4 linked regions of the Caenorhabditis elegans genome follow. The protein of the gene in region 1 purifies or fractionates together with the protein of each later gene. This does not show direct contact. Each region holds a gene or a part of one and is shown in the gene's direction. Other genes may lie near its edges. The genes, in order: Y55F3BL.4, gck-3, F43C11.8 and pals-26.

Region 1 (3,481 bases):
TTCAAACTTATCTAAATCTAGTCTTGATTATACTCATTTTGAAGATCTCGGTAAGCTGAAATCGAATTTTTCTGAAAATTTGAAAAAAAATGAAAAATTTCAAAAAAAAAACATTAAAAAAAATTTTTTCAGACAGCCGAACGATGCATTGGAGAGCTATCCGGGACCGATTTGAGTGCCGATATCAGTGGAAATGCACCATTTGGAGTGTTCACGCATAGGTTGATACCTGGAAATTTTCGAAAAATGGAGCAAAAATCTGGAAATTTGCGGATTTATCGAGAAAAAAAATATAAAATTACGAAAAAAAAAATTTCAGAGGAAATTTCTCAAAAACGTAAACTGTTGAAACGAATTTGAGGAAACTTTAATTTTTTGTCCAAAAAAAAAAAATTAAAAATCGGTTTTTTCCGAATTTTCTACGATATTTTCCTGAAATAAATCGAAAATTGTGAATTAAAATTAAATTAATCTAACAAATAGCATAAATATGGAAAAATAGTGAATTTTCAAGAATTTTGAAGTTTTCAAAAATTAAAAACTTTCAAAACATTTTCAGACAGTTTTCTAATAAAAACTGTTTTTTTTTTTACAAATTTAGCAAAAAAACTAAAAGTTTCGGTCATTTTTTGGCCGATATTTCAGTGAAAAATTCAGAAAAAAAAAGCAATTTTTATCGCAAAAAAAGATGTTTTAAGGGTATTTACATGTGAGAGGTCTCTAATTTTCGCGAAAAAATCAGAGTTTTAGAGAAAATAAATTCTCAAAATTGAAAATTATGAATATTTAAATTTTTCTCAATTTTCAGATACCCCACACCAATCTCCCAGAAAACCGGTGCTCGCGGAGCCAAAATCTTCTTCTACACTGCAAATTTATCGACAATTCCGACGGAATTCCAAGTAAATCCAGATGACGTCACTGATTATCAATGGGTGAATCGAGAGGAGTTTTGGAAGACTGTACCTGGAACTGAATATAAGAAAGCTGCGAAATTTGCATTTTTGGAATAATTTAATTGATTTTTTTTTGTGTTAAAATTGTGAGAAAATCGACGACAGAAAAATGTGAAAAATTGAAGAATTTTGAGTGAATATTGAATTTTCAGCTCTAAACAATTCGGTGGCCGATCTTTTTCTAGTCCGCTCTCTCAAATTTGTCTTTTTATTTGGAATTTTGGTAGAAGATCTTAAAAATTACTGAAAATTTAATTTTTTTCTGAAAAATTCGATTTTTTTGCGAACAAAAAATCTGGTGGCCGAGCTTTTTCTACTCCCTGAGCTCAAATTTGCGAATTTTCTTAAGTATTTAAAATCTGGAAGGCTTCAAAAAAATTTTTTTGGTGACCTAATTAAGCTTAAAATCTTCAATTTCCGTACATTTTCCCTTTATTTTTATCGATTTTTCTCATTTGTTCGTAGTTTTTATTTTTTAGAAGGCTTTTATTATTATTTGTTGATTGTTTGATTCAATAAAAAATCGATTTTTGAAAGAAAAAAAACAATTTTCGAAATTTTTCTGTGGGTTTTTTAATTCCTGAAAAAAATTACTGAAATTTCAAGTCGGGAGCCTGGTTTTCGGCAAATTCGCGATTCTAGTCCTCCATTGCAGAAAAAGTTAGGTCACCAATAAGATTTTCACTTAAAATATCAATTTTGTGTCAAAATTTTAAATTTTTATGTGAATTCAGCAGACTTTAAACCAAATTTTAAAATAAAAACCAAAAATTCAAAAAAAAAATTTTTTTGGAAATTTTGAAAAAAAAAATATTTTGTGAAAATTTCAGAACTATCTTTTCAAAAATTTCATGGTTTTTACACATAATCAACTGATTAAAGCTTCTTCTTCCATATTTTCAGCCAAAAAAACCAAAAAATGGAAGACGACGGATTCACCCTGGTCACTGGTAGAAAAGCCGGAAAACAGTCGGCGAAATTTGTCAGTTTTCTCCAAAAAACAAATTATCGATTTTTTACAAATTTAAATTTCAGAAAAAAACAGAAAATGGAAAGCATATTCGAGTTGATGGAACACTGGAAAGTATCGAAAAAGCTATGGAATTGGCGAAAAATGGGATTCTGAAAAGCGGATTGGGGTAGGTTATGGTCCTTTTTGTGAACAAAAAACCGAGATTTTGATAAGAAATTAGGTTCTGAAACTGAAAAACATAAAAATTTAAGATTCAGAAATTAAAATTTTAGAATTTCGAAAAAATTTTTTTTTGAAAATAAAAAAAAATTTTTTAAACAAATTCAATTTTTTTAAGAAAACTATTTTTTTCGCAAATTTTTTTTTATTTTAGCAAAAAAAAATTTAATTATTTTGTTTCCAAAATCTCAAATTTTCCAGCACCTGGCTCCACCACAAGCTCCAACTCCTCATCTCCCCCCACCAAAAAATCCAAACCATCTACGTCATCGGAAACGGTCATTTCGACGGCTCAACGGAGCCCGGAGCCCACCAACTTGCTCTTTTCCTGGAAATTTCTGAGCAATTCCAGTGTCCCATCATTTTCCAAGAGCCAGTGTGCTCTGCCACGGAGCTCAAATGGCTCGAATCAAAAAACGTTGAGATTCGTCGAGAAATGGACGCAAAAATCGATATTTGCGAGGAAAAATCGATATCATCGATGTTATCGATTTTCGCATTCATCCACGGAGAACACGAGATTTTCAACGAATTTTTAGAATTTAACGCCGGAAAAATCGATAATCTAATTGTGATCGGCAACGACTACGGCGGTGCCAACTGGGAATTGTCGAAAAATCGCGAAAAAATGCCTAAAATCACGGAATTTTGCGAAAAATCGATAATCACCGCGTTTCCGGCGATCTACGAACCGAATTCCAACGCGTTTTCCAGTACTGTTATTATGTCTTCTTGTGATAATCAATAAACTTTTTTGTTTAAAAAATATCGATTTTTAAAACCATTTTTTCGTTTTTTTTTTGTAGAAAAAATAAATTTTTTTTAATTCGATTTTTCATAGTTTATTCTGTAAAAAAACGATTTTTCCGTAAAAATCGGAGTTTTCATTGATGGTTTTTTTTTGTTGGAAAAATCGATTTTTTATTAATGTCGTCTGAAAATCGATTTTCAAACAACACTCCGATGTTCCGCTAGCACGCCAGTGCTCTACTACCTTCGACAAGACTTTTTTTCTAAAAATCAATGTTTATGACAACAAACAAGGTACAATGCGTGAATTATTCCTGGAATAACAAAGAGACATGTGAGAAGTATGCTGAGCAGCAAATGGAGCCCACAACCAGACGTCAGAAGTACGGAAATTGGCTGAAAAACTCAAAAAACTCAAATTTCCGTCTTGATTGATATTGGGTTTCAAATGACACTCCGATATGGTGGTGCGCGTTGTTTAGTGCGCAGGAGATTTGGCGGGAATTCAAATTTTTAACGTTAAAGCTCTCCAAAAACACTGCAATAAGCAACGCCGAATATCGGTTTATCGATTTTCCACTAG
Region 2 (4,963 bases), on another chromosome or scaffold:
CCTCATTTTCAGCACAAAATTGTTTAAAATTGCATATTTTGCCCCCAATTTGTGACAAATTTATTGATTTTTTTCCCCAATTTTTCCGCTGTTGGAATAGAATTTCCCTGCCTTCTCATCTAAATTTATAATTTGTTCACTGAAAAAGTGGCATTTTTAAGGCGATTAAATCAATTCTATATTGTATTTATTTATTTCTGTGTGTGTGTTTTCAGACGAAAAGAGCGGTTTCCAATGTGTACCGGCTGAAAATATCTTTGATTTTTTTATGATTTTTTTCCTGCTCCTGAAAATTTGAAATTTGGAGCTTTTTTCCATGTAAAATTTCGCTGGAAATTACTGGTAGAAATTCCCCCTAAAAATGAAGAAAATCGATCGAAAGTCTTCAAAATGAAGTATTTTTACAAAAAAAAAAAACAGCGAAAAGCTGGATTTTTTTTGGTAAATAAACTATTTAGAAAATCCAGTTTTCGGACTAAAAAGACTCTTGTAAAAATACGATTTTCCCCAATTTGAAGGTTTTTTTGAAATGAAATTCTAGAGAGAAATTGGCTGAAAATGAACTTTTAGCGCGCAAAAATTTCAATTGAAACTTAAGATATCCGTAATTTTTACTATTTGGAGCAAAAATCCAGAAAAACACCGTCGTGTAATTATTAAAATCTCAAAAATAATTTTTAAGCTATAAAATCTCAATTTCCCGAGCTAAAAGCAACACGTTTTTTAGCTCAAAAATTGGATGATTTCAAGCCTGAAAAATCTTTAAATATTGTTCGGCCTTAAACCAAAATGTTCAACGGAGCTGAAAATTTTGTTTAGCGAAAAAAACATTTACGTATATATAACTTGGAAATTTCTTTGGAAATTGAATTTTTAAGCTCAAAAATCCAGATTTTTGAGTCATATTTGAGTGAAAACTTCCTTTTTTTTTCCTCTTCAACTGACACTGCAACTTTTTCCTCACGAGGGACGAGGAAAAGTGGTTTCTAGGCCATGGCCGAGGGGCCGACAAGTTTCAGCGGCCATTTATCTTGCTTTGTTTTCCGCCTGTTTTCTTTCGTTTTTCATCGATTTTTTCGTTTTTTCTTAATAAAACTGATAAATAAATATTTTTGCAGATGCTAAAACAATTTCCAAGTAAAAAAATTATGTATTCAGTGGGCAAGCAGCGGTGAAAGTGGTCAATGTAAAATGATGGATTACGGGAATACAAAACCTAAACTTTTTCTGAAACATGATACATATGCTGCTTAAATGCTGAGACTACCTGATTTTCATAACGAGTCTGCTGAAAAAGTTTTGAGGTTTCCAAAATTCAACTTTTTTGGTGAAAAAGTCGAGATTTTCGCACAAAAAGTTGAATTTTGAAAACCTCAAAACTTTTTCAGCGGTCTCGTTATGAAAATCAGGTAATTTCAGCATCTAAGCATCATATGTATCATGTTTCAGAAAAAGTTTAGGTTTTGTATTCCCGTAATCCATCATATTACATTGCCCTCTTTCACCGCTGCTTGCCCACTGAATACATAATTTTTTCACTTGGAAATTGTTTTAGCATCTGCAAAAATATTTATTTATCAGTTTTATTAAGAAAAAACGAAAAAAATCGATGAAAAACGAAAGAAAACAGGCGGAAAACAAAGCAAGATAAATGGCCGACTTGTCGGCCCCTCGGCCATGGCCTAGAAACCACTTTTCCTCGTCCCTCGTGAGGAAAAAGTTGCAGTGAACTATCGGACCCAAAATTAGACTGTGATTACAAAAAGTTAGTTTCCAGCCGTTTTTTTTTTTTTTTTTCAAATCTACTATATCCTTAATGATATTACTGATTAATGATATCAATTAATTTATTAATATTGTATTAAAAAATTTCAGAGTCTCATACGTGTGTTGTCCTGTGTACATCATCATCATCATCAACAATATAAATTAATATATAATAAATCAAAAATATAAAAAATGAGCTCTTCGAATCTGGCAGGAAACACGAATACTACAACTACATCATCAGCAGCTTCTGCAGCAGCTGCTCATTCAGCTGCAAATGCTTCAACAATAACATCAGAATACTCGACAACACAGACAACAACTGGAACATTTAACACTGATACATTATCGAGCATCGGATCAACGTCGACACTTCATGGTGCTTTTTTGGATTTTTTTTGCGGTCGAAAAATGTGAAAAATGGCAATTTCTAGCTTGAAATCTAATAATTTTTCCGAAGAAAAAGTAGAAATTTCAATAAAAATTGGGGTTTCCCGATTATTTTTGCAGGTCCAGTAAAATTTAATTTTTATTTAAATTTAAAAAATCGAAAATAATTTTTTTAAGTTAAAAATGAATTTTTAAAGTAAAAATTACATCTTTCTCCTTCTAAAGTTGGTATTTTGTGAGGAAAATAATTAATTTTTACAATAAAATTGAAATTTTCCGGTACAAAATGTATTTTTTGCTTTGAAAAATTGGTTTTTTGGGTATAAATAAATTTTTTTTGTAGGAAATTGAATTTTTCAACGGAATTGAAGTTTTGTAGTGAAAAATCAATTTTTCTCCTTAAAAAATTACATTTTTGAGAAAAAAAAACGAATTTTTACGATCAAATTTAATTTTTCTAATAAAAAATTCGATTTTTTTTTGCTCTAAAATGTACAATTTCTTCATGGAAATATAATTTTTTGGCGGAAAAATTCGATTTTCACTCTAAAAATTTAATTTAGCTGAAAAATTTGATTTTTCACATAAAAAAAACCAATTTTCACTTGGAAAACCCTAATATTTTCAATTAAAATCAATTAAATTTATAAAATCTACATTTCCGATTTTTGTGAAAAAAAAACAAATTTTTTTAATCGGAAAAATTGATTTTTCAAGAAGAAAAAAAGAGTTTTTCCTGTGAAAAGTCGAATTTTTCAACGAAATCTGTTTAAAAATGTCATTTTTGAGTACAAAATTCAATTTTTACTCTAAAATTTTCAATTTTTGTCGAGGAAATATGATTTTTTAGGCAGATAAACTCTATTTCTTCATTTGAAATTTATTTTTACTCCAAAAATGTTTTAATTTAGTTTAAAAATTCGATTTTTATACATTTTTTTTTGTTTAAAAAAAAAACGTTTTTCCCGGTAAAAATTACCTTTTTAAATGTGTAAAAAGTCGAATTTTTCAACGAAATTTAATTTTTGAGCTGAAAAAAAATCGAATTTTCTGCTTAAAAATTACATTTTTAAGTACATACAACATTGAATGTTCCATGTAAAAATTTTCAATTTTTACCTTAAAAACCAAAATGGTTTTTTGAAAAAACCAAAAAAAAAATTACAAAAAAGGTGAGAAAATTCAAAAATCGCGCAATTTTTAGGCCCAAAAAATGAATTTCACCCCTAATTTTTTTGTTGTTGCAGGATCACAACCATCCCAACCACCACCACCACCACCACCTCAAGTATCATCACCGATTGCGGCAGCTGCAGCAGCATCAGCTGCACTTGTTGCACAGCTTAATCCGGCCGATCGATGGCCAACAGAACCGTCGGCTTATAAGTTGGATGAGTCGATTGGAGTTGGAGCAACTGCTACCGTTTTTACTGTATGCTGCTTCTTTTTTGACTGAAAATTACAATTTCTATGTCAAAAAAAGCCGAATTTTTAGACAAAAATTCGGGTAAAAAAACGCAAAAAAAAATCCACTTTTTGTACTGAAAATCTCCGGAAAAGTGGCGAAATGGCGAAAATTACAATTTCTAACCGTCAAAAAAAATTTTTTTTTCTAAAAAAATTAAAATTTCCCGCCAAAAAATTTGAATTTCCCGCCGAAAAATTTTTTTTTCTCAGAAAATTTGAATCTCCCGCCGAAAATTTTTTTTTTCTCAGAAAATTTAAATTTCTCGCCAAAAATTTTTTTTTCTCAGAAAATTTAAATTTCCCGCCAAAAAAATTTTTTTTTCTCAGAAAATTTAAATTTCCCGTCAAAAAATTTTTTTTTCTCTCAAAAAATTTGAATTTCCCGCCAAAAAATTGTTTTTTCTCAGAAAATTTAAATTTCCCCCGAAAAAAAATTTTCGACGGGTCTCACCACGAAGTGAGCCGTGATTTTCCTCTCAAAAATGAGCAAAATAACGAAAAATCCATCAAAAATTGAATTTTTGCGTAAAAATTCCACATTTTTCAACTGGACACCTTCAGAAAAACGAATTTGAATCTGAAAAATTCAATTTTTCAGCCAAAATTTTAATTTGTCTTTGGAAAAACCCGGAAAAATCGCTAGAAAACCCCAAATTTCGGCGGGAAATTTAAATTTTTCCGAAAAATCTCGTTTTTTTCAAGAGAAAAGTGGTGAAAATGTTGATTTTCACCTAATTTTACTTTAAGGTGGTGAGTATCGAGACTTTTGTTTTATTAATGTTTTATTAAAATTGGTCCAAAACTACCGAATTTTGTAATGAGACGTTCTGAAAATTTCTCAAAAAAAAAGTTATGGCGGTTCGGCCGAATAAAGCTCATTTTTAGCTAAAATCAAAATTTTTTCCAACTTCTCAGTGCCACAATACCTGGAACCTAATTTTTATTTATTCATCACTTTTTAATAAATATTGTGGTTTTTGAGTGGGCGTTTATTCGTTGATTTAAGTACATATGTCAGTGGGGCACAAATAAAAGTTAAATTTTGTACCCCAAAGACCATAAATGTACCTAAATCAACGAATAAACGCCCACTCAAAAACCACAATATTTATTAAAAAGTGATAATTAAATAAGAATTAGGTTCCAGGCATTGTGACACTGAGAAGTTGGAAAAAATATTGATTTTAGCTGAATATGGGCTTTATTTTGCCAAACTTTGAACCGCCATAACTTTTTTTTGAGAAATTTTCAGAATGTCTCATTACAAAATTCGGAGATCTGGACCAAATTTGGGTCTAAAAAAGCAAAAGTCTCAAATTTCGGTCGGCTCTACCTTTAA
Region 3 (3,938 bases), on another chromosome or scaffold:
GTTCACGCCGGACACTCGAAGGGCCTCCTACAGACGGAAGCTTTGAAATTGAGAACGTTGCTCAAAGATAAGCTTTTAAAGTCCGAAGATCAGATTGTTCAAATTGACAAGAACATTGAAGAGGTTGACAGGTTAGTTTAAAAAGCGGTAGATCACAATTTTAGCTCGCTGAAATTTCAGCGCCCAGCAAACAAATCAAGTAGATGGGAAGGTGTTTCAAGATAAAAAAGATTTGGTTAGTGATTTTTTTTTGAAACGGGGACGAAATACAATTCCAGAACATTTTCAGATATCCGTCTACTATACCTCAATACGAGAGACCTTAGATGCCCAGGAAGCCCTTGCAAATCAAAAACTACGCGAAATTGCAGAATCCAATTCAGCTAGCAATAAATTACTACTAGAAGAATTGTCGGAATCCCTGGAAACCCAGAAATTGAAAAACGAGAAATTAAAGTCGTTTCTGGGAATGAGCAACGCGGATTTGTTAGCTCTAAATTCAGAAATTCAGCTCTGGGATGACTCGGAAAATACAGAAGTTGAGCCTATTCAGTTTGATGTAGCATTAAATTTTCCAGAAGTGAACAGGTTAGCTGTGGGTAAGTGGATTTGGAAGGAAGTTGGTAGATCAATGTCAGGAAGTTTTGTAGATGTGGCAAATGCTTCAATGTCAAGCTCTCTGGAGCCAGATGTAGGTTTTAATGATAATTTAGCATTTGTATTATAGGTACATGAATTTCAGAATATAACCCTGTGGCTTTGAATGTTCCAAACAAGGCAGTTTTTTGGTTTTAAAGTTTTCAATCATTTTTTACTTTGTACAAATACCGATAAACAACCGAAAATTCAACTCTCCAATCCTGATTTTTTTGGCCCTTTTCGGGCAATATAAATTTTTGAAATGTCTAATTTTTTGGTATTTTATTTTTCTGAGTTCTCATATTTTCTAGGATTTATTTTTTATCTCTTTTTTCTCCGCCTAGCCTACATTTAAGCTTAAGTCTAAGCCTAAGCTTCATCCTAAGCCAAAGGCTAAGCCTAAATCAAAGCCTAAGCATAAGCCTAAGCCTAAGTCTCGAAAACTTGAAAATCGGAAAACAAAAATTTACGTTTTTTCGATTTTCCGGAAAATCCAAAAATCGAAAAAAAAAATGATCTAAAAATTAATCATAAAATACGATTTTTATCTAATTTTTTTTCTATTGATAAGAGAAAAAAATTTCGAAAAATCAAAAAAAAAAACGAAAATTTTCGATTTTTCGATTTTTCTAAAATAAGCCCGCTCCCGTACAAACAGTGCTATAGGTGCTCGGCAGGTTTCAGGCAGGCGCCAGGCTCTGAAAACGTTTTATTTTACGAAAAACTATTACGAAATCCGTAGTAACTGACCACATAGAATTAGCAATAGTGTTGAAAATGGTGTATCTAAACTGATATGAGTCAGCAAAAAATATTTACCGGTTTCCGTGTATTCTTGGTCACCAAATTGTTATCGTCTTATCGCAGTGTCAGCGGGAGAACTCCCAAGACCATTCGTTTATTTTTCCAACCCTCCGTACAGTTCCGAAATGTCATTTATTGAGTGTGAAATTTGCAACGAAGATTTCTCAAGTGCCACCGATGAAAATATTCCTAGGATTTTGAGTAAGCTTTTGCTACCTTTCCTAAAATTAAAAAATAAAAATTCAGGATGTGGCCACACAATTTGCCATGGTTGTGCAGAAAAATTGCTCCAAAACTCTATGATTTTATGTCCATTCTGCCGGGAAGCAACTAATGTCAGTACAGTGAAGGATTTGCAGAAGAATTTTGCATTGTTACAGGCAGTTGAACACGCTAAGACTAGAACTGAAGAGGTTTTTTTTTCTAGAAATAAAGTTATACATATAAATATATATATATATATATATACATATATATATTTATATATACATATATATATTTATATACAAATATAAAATTTTTCAGAAAGATCCCATTGATTCACCGCCAAAATGCGCTTCTCACCAGTACAATTTTGCGGAATTTGTGTGCATTGTGAGTTCTTTATAGGTTTTGATAGGCCCCAAAATGTCAACTGTAAAAAATTTTTTAAAAAACTTACTATTAGCAGCCGACAACTCGCCGGTTTCTGAGAGTGCGAGGTTAATAGCCAAAAAATAATGGTACGTGGGAGCCTAGTTCAGGCCAAAGTCTTGGCCTAGATTTTGCTCAACTTTTGTGGTCAAGCTCGGCATTTGGCTATAAATTCTTGGCCAAGTTTTGCCCAAAAAATATTAGCTTGGATCAGAAGTTTGCTAAACTTGGGCAAAACTTTGGCAAAACTCGGATTCAGGCTGCACCAAAGGTTTGGCCCAAACTTCTCTTATTTCGTTTCAAACTTATGTAGAAGTTTGGCAGAGTTGGTTGAACCTTTTTTTAAACTTTGGTGGAGTTTGAATCCAAGTTTTGCCCAACTTTTGCTCAACGTCTGAAACAAGTTATTATTTTTTGCGCCAAACTTGGGCCAGAAGCTAGAGCCAAATGCACCTCTTCTTGCCTGAGAAACTAGCATTCTTTCCAGGAGCCCACCTGCTCATCTAGCGATAAGCTCATGTGCCGTACCTGCGAAGAGTTTGGAGCTCACGCCGGACACAATCGAGGCCTACTACAATCAGAAGCGGCAAAGTTGAGACAGTTTCTGAGCGGGAAGCTTTCAAGATCCGAAGACCTGGCAAGTAAAATTGATGCGAATATCGAAAAGATCGGAACAGCTCAGCTAACAAATCTCGACGATGGGGAGGTATTTCAAGAGAAAAAGGTTTCGATAATAGCCTTCTACGCTTCAATACGAGAAACCTTGGATGCTCTCGAAAACGATGCTCTTGCGACGCTTCAGAACATCGCGGAAACTAACTTTTTCACGAACGACCTGCTCATCGCAGAGCTATCGGAATCCTTGAACCGGCAAAAGCGAAAAAGTGCGGAGCTGAAGCTGTTTATGAAAATGAGCAATGCAGATTTGCTCGCGGTGAATTCTGCGCTGGAAGTGAGCAGCGAGAATGAGCTCTGGACTGAATTTGCTGATGTTGAGCCTGAAGTTTTTGACGCAGCACTGATTTTTCCAGAGATGGATAGGCTTGTCATACGTAGGTCTTTGAAAAAATATTGATTGGAAAAATTGGATTTTTCAGAAGTCACGAAAGTTTCTAGAATTGACAACAATTTGTCTCGCGAGTTTGAAGAATTTTGCAGGGCTAGGAGGTAAGCTAACGAGAGAAATATGAATTTTTATATAAAAGTTTTTTTTTTCAGACAACCTGCTAGCTGCTCTGATTGATGCCAACGACGGTTTTATAGGATATTTAATTGAAAATGTTTGTACATAAATAAAAATGTGATTGATGATTTTGTTGCGCTTCAAAAGCGAACAGACATGGGCCAATCTTTTTCAGAGTTTTTTTTCTACAAATTCGGCAAATCGGCAAATTTGCCGGTTTGCTGATTTGCCGGAAATTTTCAAATGCGGCAATTTGCTGGAGATTTTCAATTTTGGCAATTTGCCGATTGCCGGAAATTTTTAATTTCAGCAATTTGCCGGTTTGTCGATTTGCCGAAAATTATCAATTTCGGCATTTTGCTGGTTTGCCAATTCATCGGTATTTTTTAATTCCGGCAATTTTCCGGTTTGCCGATTTGAAGACATTTTCAACTGCGTCAATTTGCCGGAAATTTTCAATTTTGGCAATTTCAAAATAGATATAAGAAGATTCATAGGATGCGTACAATTTTACCGATTAAAATTGAAATTCTGAAACTTCCAAAAAAATGTGCAAGACCACAATTTGGCAAAAAATGTTCCACAGTTGCCGTTTTTCCGGCAAATTCGGCAAACTGGTAAGTTAGTTTTAAATTCCGGCAATTTGCCGATTTGCCGATTTGCCGGAAATTTTCAAGTG
Region 4 (6,254 bases), on another chromosome or scaffold:
GTGTTCCTTACTCTTCCTCACTCTTCTTTACACAACCGATACATCCTTCGTGTCATTCACAGCTACAAATATTTTCAAAATTCAAATTTTGCTGCGTGAATCAAAAATTGCAGTTTCAATCCTCCTCTTTGATCTACTCAAGGTCTCTCAAGCATTCAAGAAGATATGGATGTAAGTTGAAATTTAACACTAAATCTTCAATTTACGGAATAGATTTGATTATAAAAAATTAAAATTTGAATTCACATAAACTTCCAAACTAAATTTGTCGAAACAAAGTTGTCACTTCAAAACAAGTTAACGAATTCCGTCGAATGAAAACCGCAAACATTTAAACGAACAATTAACTTAACCTGAAATCTTTTGCAGAGTAATTTGAATGGAAATCAAAAGACACTAGCCGAAAGTCATACTAGAGCCGGCCAAATTCAAACACAAAGTGTGGGACATTTAGAGAGCATCAAATTGGATATGTTCTCTCAAAGGCAGTTTCTTCATGAGAAGAGCATCAAAACAGAGCAAGAACGTGCCTTAGAAATGAAAACTGTTAACGATGAAAATTTGAATATCGAATTGGAAATGAAGCAAAATAGAATGAATCACCAACAAAGAATTCAAAAGCAGAAATTATTGGACAGAAATGACGAATTGAAGTATAATTTGGGATGTGAAGAAGATGCGAAAGAGAGACATTTTATCAGTAGTGTTGAGGATACAAGAGCTGCTGGACAGAAGCTGTTCAGTTCGTTGAATCATCTTTGCTCAAGTGTACATTGTCTACAAACAAGCAACAATTCAAATAATCGGAATGATGTTGAAAAGAAAATTGGTAGTTGTATGGTGAGAACATATTGAAGTGTTAAATGAAAGAAACCTTAACATCACTTTGAAAGTGGTGTTTTGGTTAAATACTTTTTGTCACACTTGGCAATCTAACTTTCTATCCAAATATTGCAAAAAATGGGAATATATCTATGTATTTGGAAAAAGTGTGCTTAATTTGAGCAAGACTTTACTGAGTCCGGGCCGGAGTCTCGTCTTCGGTTCAACTTATGCATATCTTCTTCCAAGACTTTAACTGTGTCTCCCTTGATTTTGGATATGATGTCAGTAAGAAATTCATTTTAGGGCCAAGAAATATTCACTTCATTCAAAGATTGGCAACACTTGATAAGAACAAGTTTGATCCAACTCTTGCAAATGTTTTACCAATGTTGAAAACGGCACAAAAAGTCTGCCTAATACATTGACAAGGTTTAACTTTGATTTCTGAGTACGTTTCTATAATTTAATACGCCTGAAAATACGGATTTGGTTAATGACTTCTAATTAACGGTCAGTATCTAACTTATTTCAGGCCTATATTGGCAAAGTCGAAAAGACAATAATTCCTTTCTAGGATGCAGTGCGAACTTTACAAGACCAATATAAGCTGGAACTGTGAATGTTCAAGAAATTCACAACAAGACAGGCACGCTGGAACAGAGCATCTCTCGATTTCAAAATTATTTGAAAGATGGTTACATTGATAATAATATTTCAACCTACAAAGATGTTTTGGAATCAACATCAGGCTTGATTGAAATTGTGAATTCACTTCCATCAATTGCTAAAAGTAATCACGGTACAACTGCTATAACTGAGAGTTTTAAGCAAACTATTCAAAGTTCAAACAGCGATATATGTGTTCAACAATCTACAACTCTTGTTGTACAAGTTACTGAAAACGTTGAAGTGTCCGTTGGAAAAAGAGATAAGCTAATAATTCTTAGTATTATTCCATTCTTCGTCTGTGCGCTAATTGATTTGTTTCGTTAATGGCAATAATTTTTTTCAAATTGTGTTTACCTTTGTTTTAAGGTGTTCAAAAAATTTATGCCCCGTAGTATTATTCAAATTTACTGTTAAATTGCATTCCCTCTATTCTTATATATGTATACTGAATAAATTATTGATATTGAGGCACATATTTATTGGAATTCAAAACGTGTTTGGCATGGAACACCTATGTATCTTTATATTTTGCTATTGAAAATTAGACATCACCGTCTTCATTAGATATTTCATTCGGTCAAGGCGTAACAGGGCCTCTCACTCGCACTATAAAAGCAGCGTTTTGAGAATATTTTCAGCACTGTTGTTGAAAGTTATTGAACTTTGGCAATAAATTTTATTTATCTCCAGGCTCAGAAATGTGATTTTCCTAACAATAAACCTAAAAATATAAACAAATTTGAGACTTTCTTCCGGGGGCGTTATCCGGGGACTATACTCCTTCACTATTAAACATACATACATATATACCAAATTATATCTCTATTCCTTTTGTAATATTGCCCCACGTTGTTCAAATTTGACTTTTATAGTTCCATTGTCGTGTGTTCTATCAATAGCTTGTCAACTGACAAAATTTTTTAAAATTATATTTCTATTTATAGTTTGTCGCTTATTATTTATTACTAGGTCCCAAACGAAGTATAACTATTCTAAGTACAGCAGTGAGATGCAAAACTAATAGAAAAATGCGGTAAGTACAATAATAATTTATTCGATAATCTTATATGTAGTTTAATTTTTTGAAATATGTTTAAAATTGTCTAATTCAAATGCACAAAACAAATGTATACCTACAAAATCAAGAGAATTATAGAGGCTGGCTGGGCTAAATAACTTTTATTACGATTTAAGAGACATTTGCCGTTTGTTCAGAGGAAACGGCTTATAAACAATGAAAGAGGGCGGAGAAATAAATAGATAACACAAATGTCGTGGGATGGCAAAACTCTATATTGCGATATCAATTTAGACAATCAACAATATCTGACTATGAGTCATGACGGAAGGGCGAAGTCTTCCCCATGATGCTGCATCCGTTCTAATGACTAATATTATTTTTGAAAATCTGCATTCTCAGCAAACAACGATTCTTATCATCAAAATGCATGTGTCGCTTTAGAATATAAAACTGAGGAAATGTTTACCATTTTGTCTCCAGGTTCCTTAGTCTTCCTCACTCTTGTTTTTCTTTAAAACAACGGATTTTAGCGCCAGTAAAATCTATTAAGACTAAAATTTCAAACAGATAAAAACTATTAGGCAAAATGAGAATTTATCTGACATTTGAGTAAATGTAAAACTTTAAGTTTCCCTTGCAAAAAAGATGAAGGTTTTCATTGCTATGTCTTAATTTGTTATCACAATTTGAATTTGAATTTGTTTACACCAGTACCTTGCTAGCCGTAAAATGTTGTTTTTCCTCTTACCCATTCTATTTTTCTGTTGGTTTCTGAATTGACATTTTTCAGTTTCAACTTTTCTATTCGGCAAATTCAAAGAGACAATCATGGGAGTAAGTTGAAGTTTCTTCTTTTGTAAATATAATCTTAGATTTAATAGATATTAAATAATTTGAATTATAAAATTTTTAAATATACATATATACATATCATTTGCAAAATATTCCAAAACTGATCATTTTTATTGTTAGTCAAAAAGTTGTAAAAACTCAGTTTTCACCTACCACAATTTTGGATATGAACCAACAAAAAAGTTTTCCATGATTTTGAAATTTTACTTCCTCATTTATTGTTTGTTTTAACATTTTAGAGGTTTGAAAAACTGAAATTTTTGAAACTTTTTGGCACATTACCAAAACGTAGTGTGAATTTTTCGAAAAATCTGAAAGTTTTTTGGAAATGCTGAAATTTTAAAACGATGATCGGTGATTTCAAACTAATCCCCACTAAAAAACATTTTGAAGTCAAAAATTAACAAATTTTGAAACAATGGAAATACATTTTTGAACATGTGAAAAAATATTTCTAGGGCGGTGGTTCCAAAGCTGACAATGAGGCCATTGCTCAAGACATGCGAAATAACATGCAACCTGAACGTGAGCGCCGGCAAAGGGAGCTTGAAGCTTTAGAAAGGGAAGCGGAAAGACAGGCAGCAGCACGAGCAGAATTGAGAAGACAAGAGGAAGCAAGTCAGATTGCTGAACAAAACAGGAAGGATGAAATGATGAAGGTTTGAGATTTCCAATAACTTTTAATCTGGAAAAATGATTTCAGAAAATATTGGAGCAAAGTCAGAAGACTCGGGCAGAAGATCAAGCAAGAGCTGATCAAATTCGAACTCAAAACGAGGAGAATTTGAAAGAAGCAGTTGCAAGTGGAAATCAGCTTCTTGATAATCAGAGAATTGTGAATCAAGCAGAAGTTACAAAACGATTGACGGATCATCAAAATTTAATGACACGGGAACAGGGAAGACTGGCTGAAACTGAAAAGAAAATTGAGGAAAATGTTGTGGATATGAAGAATAAGGTTAGTTGGAGATAGGAATTTTAATTTCAAATTAATTATTTAAAAAAATAATTAAGACCGTCAGGAAGAGTAAATAAAGAAAAAATAAGATTCGAGTCACGTTTTGATCGAAAAAAAATATATTATGCGACTTTTCCAAAGTTTGTATAATATTTTTGAAAACTTCTGAAACTTCCTGCTTAAAGAAATTTTAGAATTATTTATATAGCTTCTATAATATAATAGCTTCTATACTAGAATAATAGCTTCTGATCTCCATAAATATTTCTGGAATAAATCGGAAATTTCCGAAAGTATCTAGAAAGATTTCGACTTTTTTGGAAAATTCTGAAAATTTTTACTATATTTCATAAGGCTCTAGGACTTTATTGAAAAAATAGTCTAACATTTACGCAAAAGCTATTTATTTTTGGAAAATTTGAAAAATCATTTTAAAATTATATTTTCAGAAAGCAGAAGCTCAAGAAAAGTTGCACAGCGAGAAGAAAGAATACGATGAGAAAAAGCTCCAGAAATCTGAAGAAAATGCTCTGAAAATTGAAGATTTGCACAAACAAACTGCACAACTTGAAATTGAAAAAGAAAATAATGCAATCGAGCACCAGAATAGAATCCATGGAATGGAGAAGCTATTTAAATTGGATAAATACAATATTCATGTGGCTGGTGGCAAAGACACTCGTGAAAGTCATTTTATTGACGCTGTTAATAATACACGAAGTGCTGGTGGAGAACTATCGAATGCAGTGGTTTCTTTGGGTTCAAACGCATATTGTCTACAAAAGGGAAAAGAAGCGAAGAACGTAGTAAAGCATATTAATTCATGCAAGGTATGATTGCGAAAAGTTCATGCCTGCCTACCCGCCTATCACAGCAATTCATATTCCAACTTTCAGACATCTCTACGTCGGATCAAGGAGAAGCTCAACAATCTGAAATATTCTGCAAGAACAATCAGAGATCAAGATGAATCAGAAAACGTCAATGTTGCGAAATGTCATGAAGTAGCACTCTACATTCAAGAAGAAGCATCACCTCTGGAACAGGCTATTTTTCGATTTGAGAGTTCTTTGGAATTTGATCCAATCGAAAACTCCATTGAATTATATGATGAGATTCACAGACTGAATGCAAGTTTGTACAAAACTGTGAACTCGCTTCCGTTGGTTTCTCGAAGTTATCATGCAATTACTGAAATCTCCAGAAGTACTGCACGCGCAGTTCTTAATGCTGATAATTCGAAACTTAGTATTCAACAATCTGAAACTGTTGTTGTGCAGCAGAGCATTGAGGATGGAGAAATGGAAGTGGATGCAGTCGTGGAGGAAATTCAAGCGATTGAGCAATAAATTGAACAATATTTTCAGTTACGTTAATCCAACCTACACCCTACACCTTACACCGACTTATAAATTTCTTTTCTAAAAACAAGTGGTCTGAAGGTATTGAGAAGGCTGTGTATACGTGTCAACTCACAAGCGCAGTCCGGCCACTGCACCGCGCGGTGGCTTTTGTCTGCTACCTTTCGGTCCTGAACCATCCACCACTCCTTATGCACCCGGGACTGACCATCTTCCGACAGTCATCCCCTGGTGACGCAGCGCTTGGCACGGACGCTCGGTCGACGTTGACAACGACATACACAGGACTCCTCCTCTCACTCCATCCACACTTATCTACCGTCAAGAAGCTGACTCACAAGCGCCCGCCACGACGCTCGGTGGTTTTTCCCGACTAGCGAGAAAATATAACAGAGGGGTATATCGAGAGAGTAATGGACGGAATAGAGACGACAGAGAACATGACAGTCGTTTACCACGTCCGATTTTGCAGGGGTTTGCGGAAAATTGTTTTATTAGAAATTTCTCTTTAAACAAATTATATATATATATATATATATATATATATATACAAAAATACAAAATATAC

The links.
Region 2: the proteins of Y55F3BL.4 (region 1) and gck-3 fractionate together in Caenorhabditis elegans (co-fractionation; one large-scale study listed by BioGRID). This does not show direct contact.
Region 3: the proteins of Y55F3BL.4 (region 1) and F43C11.8 fractionate together in Caenorhabditis elegans (co-fractionation; one large-scale study listed by BioGRID). This does not show direct contact.
Region 4: the proteins of Y55F3BL.4 (region 1) and pals-26 fractionate together in Caenorhabditis elegans (co-fractionation; one large-scale study listed by BioGRID). This does not show direct contact.

Annotation. Positions count from the first base shown.
Region 1 is NC_003282.8:803,258-806,738, forward strand, and holds Y55F3BL.4 (SRR1-like domain-containing protein), read left to right. Parts: upstream 1-1,844; 5' UTR 1,845-1,875; coding exon 1,876-1,938; intron 1,939-1,991; coding exon 1,992-2,095; intron 2,096-2,349; coding exon 2,350-2,896; 3' UTR 2,897-2,979; downstream 2,980-3,481. Other genes in the region: mrpl-46 (Large ribosomal subunit protein mL46), read left to right, coding at 133-221, 809-1,013; Y55F3BL.6 (YqaE/Pmp3 family membrane protein), read right to left, coding at 3,169-3,294.
Region 2 is NC_003283.11:17,963,760-17,968,722, reverse strand, and holds the start of gck-3 (Germinal center kinase 3), read left to right. Parts: upstream 1-1,959; coding exon 1,960-2,146; intron 2,147-3,404; coding exon 3,405-3,589; intron 3,590-4,963. UniProt on the Caenorhabditis elegans protein: Plays a role in osmotic stress responses by regulating ion homeostasis and by controlling cell volume via the phosphorylation-mediated inhibition of the chloride channel clh-3.
Region 3 is NC_003280.10:2,330,952-2,334,889, forward strand, and holds F43C11.8 (RING-type domain-containing protein), read left to right. Parts: upstream 1-1,568; coding exon 1,569-1,644; intron 1,645-1,689; coding exon 1,690-1,856; intron 1,857-1,968; coding exon 1,969-2,037; intron 2,038-2,563; coding exon 2,564-3,128; intron 3,129-3,173; coding exon 3,174-3,243; intron 3,244-3,294; coding exon 3,295-3,319; 3' UTR 3,320-3,387; downstream 3,388-3,938. Other genes in the region: ZK1240.1 (RING-type domain-containing protein), read left to right, coding at 1-131, 181-235, 290-599, 651-691, 743-763.
Region 4 is NC_003281.10:4,373,160-4,379,413, forward strand, and holds pals-26 (Protein containing ALS2cr12 (ALS2CR12) signature), read left to right. Parts: upstream 1-2,164; 5' UTR 2,165-3,343; coding exon 3,344-3,349; intron 3,350-3,825; coding exon 3,826-4,026; intron 4,027-4,070; coding exon 4,071-4,325; intron 4,326-4,774; coding exon 4,775-5,155; intron 5,156-5,221; coding exon 5,222-5,674; 3' UTR 5,675-5,748; downstream 5,749-6,254.